Caenorhabditis elegans: one gene and its partner. The protein of the gene in region 1 purifies or fractionates together with the protein of each later gene. This does not show direct contact. Each region holds a gene or a part of one and is shown in the gene's direction. Other genes may lie near its edges.

What was found.
Region 2: the proteins of gstk-2 (region 1) and rml-5 fractionate together in Caenorhabditis elegans (co-fractionation; one large-scale study listed by BioGRID). This does not show direct contact.

Annotation. Positions count from the first base shown.
Region 1 is NC_003282.8:7,239,935-7,244,205, reverse strand, and holds gstk-2 (Glutathione s-transferase kappa 2), read left to right. Parts: upstream 1-1,935; 5' UTR 1,936-1,950; coding exon 1,951-2,101; intron 2,102-2,700; coding exon 2,701-3,080; intron 3,081-3,549; coding exon 3,550-3,696; 3' UTR 3,697-3,761; downstream 3,762-4,271. UniProt on the Caenorhabditis elegans protein: Has roles in respiratory and lipid metabolism.
Region 2 is NC_003279.8:1,791,547-1,796,931, forward strand, and holds rml-5 (NAD(P)-binding domain-containing protein), read left to right. Parts: upstream 1-1,707; 5' UTR 1,708-1,713; coding exon 1,714-1,818; intron 1,819-2,245; coding exon 2,246-2,422; intron 2,423-3,075; coding exon 3,076-3,561; intron 3,562-3,804; coding exon 3,805-3,907; intron 3,908-4,514; coding exon 4,515-4,795; 3' UTR 4,796-4,878; downstream 4,879-5,385.

The DNA of each region.
Region 1 (4,271 bases):
CACTCTTCTCTTCTTCTTATTTTTTATTTATTTCTGTTTCTTTGTTCTGATTGTTGATTTTGATAAGACACCTACGAGAATTGATACCGATCATTTTGTTGTTTGGTGTTGTTTCTACCAGGCAGTGAATTTTCAGTTTTGAAGGTTGAGTTGGTAGGCACTTTTTTCAACTTTTTTTCCTTGGCTTCAAAAAATATACTTATTACGCTCTTATTTTAAAGGTGTATATATCACGGAAAGAGAAACAGTCACGAGCATTTTATTTATTTATTTATTTACTTCAATACGAGCATTCAACTAGATTCTTTCAATTTGTTCTATTTCTTTACACTTTTATAACAAAAGGCATGTAAAAAATTTAAATTTGAATCACCGCGATGACAAATTCCTTTTTTTTACTTTTTTTTACTTAATTTTGCTTATTTATTTTTGCTTATTTTTGGACTTCTCAATTGTTGATTCAAATTTCATAGCCAATTTTTTTAAATTGAATTTCCTTGTTGGGCCAGTAAGATCAACTTAATGCAAAACCCAAATAAATGATACTAAAAATATTTATTTCTTCAAACTTTGAAACAATTTGCACTCTTTATGAACCAAAAGTCAAGAATGTGGCAAACATTTGCGAGTGGAAGGCAGAGAATTCGATAAGAAGAAAACAAAAATGAGTTCTAGATCTGAACTGTTAGTTTTCACATCATTATTGTTTTTTAAACTTTTCAGATATAGTTTAATTGGAAAACTTATCATAAAATGTAAAAGTTTTCCAATTAAATTTAAAAACAATATATTCCAGTTGTTTTTTCCAAAAGCCGGAACATTTTCGGAACAAATTATTCCAATCGGATTATTTTCTATTTCATTTTCTTTTTTTTTTCTCCGAAACGTGAACTTTATGAAATCCCAATTCCACAACCCAAAGTACATATTTAACCTCCAACAAACAACACAATTCTGTTCCCTCTTTTTCACCCGTTTGCACTTTATTTCTTTTCACTCACCTCGAGTCACGTGATCTCCTTCTAAGAACTGAATTTCAAAAACACAAAATGTTGTTTTCATCCGTTTCTATTTCAGCCCTTTATGTTTTTATTGAACGGTGAAAAGATCGGATCATTTTTACACTGGCTACAATTTTATTTTTTCTCATTTGTTCGTGTATGTCATATACCTGCCTGCCTGCGTGCCTTCTTAGCCCCTCGATTCTACATTCTAACATAAAATGAGCTGGGTGGTGTACACACATGATAAATTTACGTTTATCTCCCTTTATCATTTAAATTGTTTTGTTAAAAGTTCAATTAAGAAATGGCAGGTATTTTTGTGCGTATTTGGAATAGTCATAAAGCATTTAACCAAACTTCTTTCCTGAAAATATTGTTCATTGTATATTTTCATATCTTTTATCCAAAACAACTAAATGCTCAAAAATCGCACATCTGGTTATCACGTGCGGTTAGGAAAAATAGAAATCAAATATTTAGAGTACCCAAGTTTTTTTCCAAACAAAATCTATTTTTATCGTGGTCATTTGCAAACAATTCTACACTTTGTTCACTAGACTTGAGACCAACTGTTTTTTTTCTGTTTTTTGTCCGCTGATGCTCCAATTGCTCTACCACGTGTCTGTGCTCCTATCAACTCATTGGTACCTCCCTTGATGTTTACACAAATATCTTTTCTTTCTTCTCAACTCTATCATTATTGTCTGGCCAACGTGATTCGGCTGTTTTTTTTTTTCGTGCCTAATTATTTTAAAAAAAACTTTTCTACAAAATAAGAATTTTCAGAAATCTTAAAAGCGTCCCGAAGTAGTTCAAGTTGTTTTAGTACTGGAGCTCATTAAGGTTTAGAAAAATCATAAGCTTCTGTTTTTTTTTCGCTTTTTTGTCGAAAAATTTTAAAATAATTGCTGAATTTTCATGAATTTTGCAGACTTCAAGTTTCAAAATGCCGAACCGAAAAGTGGTCAAATTCTTCTTCGATGTCATTTCTCCGTACAGTTACTTTGGATTCGAAGGAATCACTCGTCATCGTTCCGTTTGGAAGACTCCAATTCAGATGAAACCATTCTTTTTTGCTGGTGTTGTCAGACATACTGGTGAGTTTTTGTATTTTTGTCTTGAAATTTCTCTAATATCCGTAAAAAAATGGAATTAGCTTTTTTAAAGTAAGGTTTTTAAACCATGACCCTCTAACAATTCCGTTTGAAATGTCAAAATAAAAGCTTTCAATTTACTTCTGGAAAAGGACATGCAAAACCTTAAGAAGCCTGTATGTTATTATTTTCTAAAAAATGCACCTCTATCTATTTATATCATAAGGTCGGCTACTTCTACTTCTTAAAATCTGCTTTAATCTGACGAAGGGCACTAGAATAGATAAATACACTTAAATAGTTCAACAATAGTTCAACATTATAATAGTTGAACATGACATATATTAACATAATAAGACAATCCAAAAATTTCAGGATTTTTCAAAATGATCAGTGAACGTTTTGATAAGTTGCCAAATGTCCCTAAAAGGACTATTTGAAAGCAATTTCGAGACATTTGGAAAAGTGATATTTGGTAATTTTATAAGTATAGGAGCATTGATAAATAACATAATTGTTTTGAAAATTTTTTTCGAATCGTGCTAATCATCAGAAAGTTGTTTGATATGTACCTTCTAAATCATATAACTGCAAGTTTTCAGAAAACCCCGGTCTCCCACTCCGTATTCCTATCAAAGAAAAGTACATGCACAAAGATTTGCTCTTCTCTGCCCAATATTGGGGAATTCCGTTCCGTCTTCCCAAGGACTACACAAATATGATGTTGAACACAAGTTCAATCGTTCCACAACGTATTCTTGTCGCTTCACAACTCCGTGATAATGTTTTGATGGAAGACGTTGCTCGTGGACTCTGGCATCGATTTTATGCATACGGAAAACCAATTTTCACAAAAAGTCAAGTTGCCGAAGTTTTGAGAGATTTGCATGTAAAAGATGTCGATGAGTTGGTGATGATGAGTGATTCGGCAGAAGTTAAGAACATTTTAAGAGAAAACACAGATGAAGCCATCGGGAATGGAGTAGGTCATTTATTATAGGAACCCAGAAAAACACGGAATCGACGAGAAAACACGCTCCACAACCAATTTAAAACGGTCCGCCCCCTAACGATGGGTCTCGTTAGGTATTTTCCGTTAAACTTGAACGTTTTTGATTAGGCTCGACAATTTTCTAGAATTAGTCTTTCTGTTATATTTTTCGAAGTGTTTAATGATTTCAACATCGAAATGATGTCTAAGAAAATTATGTGAATTTAGGGCGTTTTCACTTATCATAATAATTTTATTTCATCTATTTCAACCGAAAAAACATCAAAAACTACGAAAAATATAACAAAATAGACGACGAACGCAAAATTCCTAACGAGACCCATGGTTTAGGGGCGGAGCATTTTCAGTTGGCCCCGGAGCGCGCTTGCGCGTCGTTTTAAAATGTTTTTTTGCTGTTTTATAATATTCTCAATTGGGAATTAAAATTAATTTTTTTCAGTGTTTCGGAGCTCCGTGGATGCATATCACTGATGGTCACGGAAAAGTACTTCAAACAGTTTTCGGATCGGATCGCCTTCCACAGGTGGCCGATTTTCTTGCCGAGCCATTCAAGGGTCCAATGAGAGAGAAGAAGCCGAACGCATAAATTGTCAGATTAGCATTCTAAAAAGTGTCTAGAATTTTATCTGAGAAAGAATAACGATTAAAATTAATTCTTTCTTTTGTGTTGGCAAGAGAAATACAGAAAACGATGGAAAAAATGTGGAAACAAAAAGACTACTAATCTATTTCACACGAGTTTCAATTTGTTGCGGCAATTACAGAAAAAAAACGGAGCAAAAAAGAAAGAGCATAAGCTAACGAAAACTTGGGGTTGGTTGGGGGGACGAAGGGTGAGAGATCTGAGTATGTGTTAGTTTTGCGTGGCCTCTGATGATTAGCCGAATATAAATAAGGGAAAGCGTAAAGGTTTGATAAAAAGTAAAAGAGAAATTTCAAGAAACGAAAAATAATATTACCGGTACAGAGAGTGTAGATAGTTAGAGAGTGACAGACATCCGGGACCCAATGGGGCGGGGCGCGCGGAAGAGACGATTTGTGTCGATTTACGAAATTTTCCTCGTTGTCATTATTTCGTAAATCGACACAAATCGTCTCTTCCGCGCGCCCCGCCCCATTAGGTCCCGGATGTCTGTCACTCTCTAACTATCTACACTCTCT
Region 2 (5,385 bases), on another chromosome or scaffold:
AAAAAAAAAGTTTTCTTTTTTTGAATAAAGCTAATTTTTTACTTTTTTATGAATCAGTACTAAAAAAAATCTGGAAAATTATGGCCCAAATCAAGAAATTTCCAAAAATTAACGTCTCCGGAAACTTGTTTCTCTTGTTAGGCTCCGCCCATTTTTTAGGCCAAAATTTGAATAAAAAATTGTCAAAAAAAATTTGCCGCGAAGATCATTATTTATATATTAAAAAATATTATGAATTGATACTGGTATAGGGTTAGTATGGGGATATGGTCAGTGTACTGTAGTAGTACTGTAGGGGTACTGTATGAGTACTGTAGGATTACTGTAGTTTTGGAAAAATTGACTTTTTGTCTTTTGAAGAGATATTGGTTTGAGGTTAGTAGGGGGTATAGCCGGGGTACTGTAGTAGTACTGTAGGGGGTGCTGTAGGAGTACTGTAGTTTAAGAAAAAATTTAGTTTTTTTTTTTCAAATTCAAATTTAATGGGAAAATTTTTTGGTGGGAATTAAAATCTTCTGTGATAAAATTTTGGCTGAAATTCAAATTTTCTGAGAAAAAAAACAACTTTTTTAGAAAAATCTGGAAACTTCTAGAATTTTCTAAAAATTGAATTATAATTTTTCAGACCAAACTGGCGACTAGAGTGGCGACTAGACTGAAAATTTTTCAGAGCGACTTTTTTGCAGCTCAAAGCTGTGCTCCCACTTGGTTTCAGTCCGTCAATACGGTTTGATCTACAAAAAATGCGGGAATTTTTTTGCCCAAAAAAATGTGACGTCACTCTTAACCATGCAAAATCAGTTGAGAACTCTGCGTCTCTTCTCCCGCATTTTTTGTAGATCTACGTAGATCAAACCGAAATGGGACACTCTGCCACTGATTTTTTTTGCACCAGGGGCCTATTTAGAATGGGGTTTTTTTTCAAACGAATTAGGTTTTATTTAGAAGTCTGGAACTTAGTTAAAATATATTTTATTTGGCCCTTGTAAGTTTAAGTTTTTCAGAATTTTCAGAACTTTTTGAAAGAATTTTGGCGCGCGAAACTTGAATGCTGTGGTTTTTCATGCTACGTGGCTGCAAAACTTCTATTGTCGCAGATAGAGTATACAATCAATGTCCTGGATCTATCTCGATTTCATTCGCATGTCTCTCTGCGGCTCTCATCTACCAATACTCTCTCACTTCTATCTGTTCGTTGCGATCTCTGCGCTGCCGTCCTTGACCGCGATATGTCATACAGAAACTGTATTCATTCTCGACTTTCTATTTTTTTTTGTTTTGGAGAATTTATGTTCATCTTAAAATTAATTTGGTTTTTGAACATATTGAGGAAACGGTTTTTTGAAAAATAATTTGCTTTTTTTAAAAATTTTTTTCCCAAAACACATTTTAAAAAATTAATTTTAAAAAATTTCTTTGACAAGCGACACGCGGTTCTGGCTTCCCTCATAAATTGAAATGGAAGAATTTGCCGAACTAGGCCAGGCCATATCCGGGGTAGATTTACGGCGCGTTGCGTGTCGCGTCGCGGCTTGATTTCAGTTGTAAAACTAAATGTATTCGTTCGTGTGGAGTGCACGACTTTCCCAGTCCGGCAGGCAATTGTCAATGGAGCGGGAAAAATTTAATGAGGAAGGCCAGAACCCCGTGAAGCGACACTCCGTTGCTAGGCGTTGCAGATTTTTTGTTAAACCTTCGAAATTTCAGTGAAAAATGACCGTTTTGATTACCGGCGGGATTTCAAAAATATCTACTCAACTTGCGGAGGCGGTGCTAAAAAACGGAAGAAATGTGGTTCTTCTGCACAATAATGAGGCGGTAAGTGGTGGCCTACAAAATTTTCGAAAATTAATTTTTAATTATCGAGTAGTATAGGATTTTCCAGCTGGCCGAGAAATCCTTGTAATGGCCTTAAAAGTTTAACGTTCCTATTCCGGCAATTGGTAATTTCGGCAAATTTGCCCAAATTTGTCCAAATTGCCGGAATTGCCGGAATTGCATTTTTAGGCTCCTAAATCTACAAAAAGTATGAAATTTTTATTTCCGGCAATTCTGGCGATTGCAGGTTCTCAAATTTTTCAGCAATCGGCAATTTTGGCAATTGCCGGTTTTTTGAATTTTCGGCAATTACCGAAATTGCCGAACAGCGAAAATGGTTCCCATTGAAAATGCTAGAGTGGCCTAGAAATTCTCAGGTGGCCGAGAAATTTCATGATGGCCTAATTATTTCAAATTTCTCTTCCAGATTCCAACAAATCTGATCAATAATCCATCGCTCACACTTATCAATTTATCATCAATCAACGAGGAAGCAATCAAAAATCTAATCGAAAATTACAAAATCCAAACAATTTTCGACGCATCTCTCACCACAACTGATGTGCTCTTGGAGCCAATTCAAGGAGCTAAGAAATTGATTCTGGTAAGGTTTTAGTAAACATGCTCTATTGGCAAACATTGGGTGTACTCCACGTGAAAATAGAGAAATTTCGAATTTCGTAAAGTCAGAAATTAAAAAAAAAATCCAGAAAACTCCTGGGAAGTCAGAAATTATCAGAAAATTTGGAATATTTTTTTGAAAAATAAAATAAAAATTCCAGAAGTCCACGTGGTGTCAGGCTGTCCCATCACGGTTTGATCTACAATAAATGCGGGATTTTTCCCCCAAAAATATGTGACGTCAGCACGTTCTAAACCATCTGCGTCTCTTCTCCCGCATTTTTTGTAGATCTACGTAGATCAAGCCAAAATGAGACACTCTGACACCACCTGAAAGTCCGAAATTTCTAGAAAATGTTGAATGCTTTAAAAAAAATCAGAAAATTCCAGAGGTTTCTTTAAAAAAAAGGTTGAGAAAAATTGAAAAATTTATATCTTTTCTAAAATTCTAAAAAAAATACAAAAAAATATTTTAAAAATAAATCAACATTTCCAAAAATCTTTGAACAATTTAGAAAATTCACGAAATTGCAGAAATTTTCAGAAATTTCAAATTTTTTTGAAAAATTTCCGTAAAAGCACGCGCGCTCAGTTGACAAACCCCTAGAATTAAAAAAAAATCAATATTTTTTTCAGGGAATCACGTCAATCCTCGATGCAATCCGTAAATCCGCATCCCCACCATCTCTGGTTCTCATTAGTGGTGACGAGGTGTACGGTAGGGCGAAGAATCGTGTCGAGACCCAACCTCTAGAGCCGGTCACATTCATCGGCTCAGCTCAAATGTCCGTTGAAGCAATGGCTCACAGCTATGCTGTCAGTTATCGTATTCCAATGGTCATCGGAAGGGTATCCGATGATTTATCGATTTCTGACGCGACACGTGGATTATTGGCAATTGAAAAGTTGGCACAAAGCCAAAAACCAGCGGAGGTCTACAATATTTCGGCTTCTTCAGCTGAAAAAATTCAGAAAGAAACGAATTGGAGCCCGTCTGGCTCTGTAAAGGAACAGGGACCCATCGAAGAAGTTTTTAAGCCAATTTTCTTAGTTTTCGGAGCTAATTCGGAACTGAAAACTCAATTTTTGGAGCTGCTAAAGCTGGAGGGACTGGTTTCCAAGGTTTGATCTCAAATTTTTGTATTACGGTAGCCACAAAAAAACACCATACTTTACGACAATTTGCAGAAAATATCTAAAAATTACGTCTTTTGTATTACGGTAGCCTCAAAAAAAAAAACACCATACTTTACGACAATTTGCTGCTCCAGGGGTAAAACTAAGCGGGAAATTCAAAAAAAGTGTCTAAAATTCGTTTCTAAATTTTTAAAACTCTCAAAAAGTCAAAACTTAACTAATTTCCAGGAATCCACAATCACAAATCTGCAAGAAGCCACTGATAAATCGGTTATCGATGAGATTAACACAATCAATCCATCCCATTTGGTTTATTTCGGAAATGAAACCGGTAAGTGACTTGGTGGCTGAAGACAGTGGCCGCAAAAAGTTTTTAGGCCATGAAATTATATTTTTTGGTCGGAAATGCTTTTCTTTTTACGCTAAAAAAATCAAAAATGCCAAAAAACAATTTTTTTTGGACTTAAAATTTGTCTCAAAATTCAATTTCACGAATCACGGGTTCTGGCCTTTCTCATTGAATTTTTCGCGCTCCATTGACAATCGCCCGCCGGAAAACGTGTGGGAAAGTCGTATACTCCACACGGACAAACACATTTAGTTTTACAACTAAAATCAAGCCGCGACGCGACACGAAACGCGCCGTAAATCTACCCCAGATATGGCCGAGCCAAAATGGCCTAGTTCGGCAAAAACTCTTCCATTTCAATTTATGAGGGAAGCCAGTGGCCGCAAAAAGTTTTTAGGCCACGAAAGAATCTTTTTGGTCGAAATTTATGTCAATTTATGCTTTAAAAAAATTCAAAAATGTCAAAAAAAAAATTTTTTTTGGACTTAAAATTTGTCTCAAAATTCAATCAAAGCTTTTTTCGCTAAAATATTTTTTCACCGAGAAAAAAATTCTGGGCCAAAAAAAAGCTTTTTATTTCAAATTCCAGACTCATTCGAAGGCGACTGCTTCACTCTCCGTACCAATATGGCGACTAATCTCTATTTTCCATGGCTTCTCGCAAGTATTGCCGAAAAGTTCTCCCTACACTTCACCCATTTTGGAAATACTTCTATGAGCCAAGAGTCTTCAGCTCTTGCCGTTAAAGGATACACTGGGAAAATGTTGGAATATTTCGAAAAAACGCTCATAATTGGACAGAAAATCGATAAAAACGTGCTGGAATCGATTAAGGCATGCAAGACTGGAGGACTTAATAATAATATTTAATTATTGAATTTTTGCAAATTATTTTTGAACTTAAAGCATTCCTTTTTCTGCGATTTTTTCAATCAATAAATTTTGAAATTAGTGTTGTACTGGCAAATTGGCAAAATGCCGGAATTGAAAATTTCAGGCAAATCGGCAAACCGGCAATTTGCCGAAATTGGAAATTTCTGGCAAATCGGCAACCCCGCAATTTGCCAGAATTGAAAATTTCCGGAAAATCGGCAAATCGGCAAACCAGCAATTTGCCGGAATTTAAAATTTTCAGCAAATCGGCAAACCGGCAATTTGCCGGAATTGAAAATTTCCGGAAAATCGACAAACCGGCAGATTGCCGGAATTTAAAATTTCCGGCAAATCGGCAAACCGGTGAATAGCCGCAATTTGAAATTTCCGGCAAATCGGCAAAACTGGCAAATTGCCGTAATTTAAAATTTCTGGCAAATTACCAGAATTGAAAATTTACGGCAAATTAACGGAATTGAAAATTTCTGCCAAATCGGCAAACCGGCAATTTACCGGAAATGAAAATTTCCGGCAAATCGACAACCCGGCAAATTGCCGAAAATGACAATTTCCGGCAAATCGGCAAA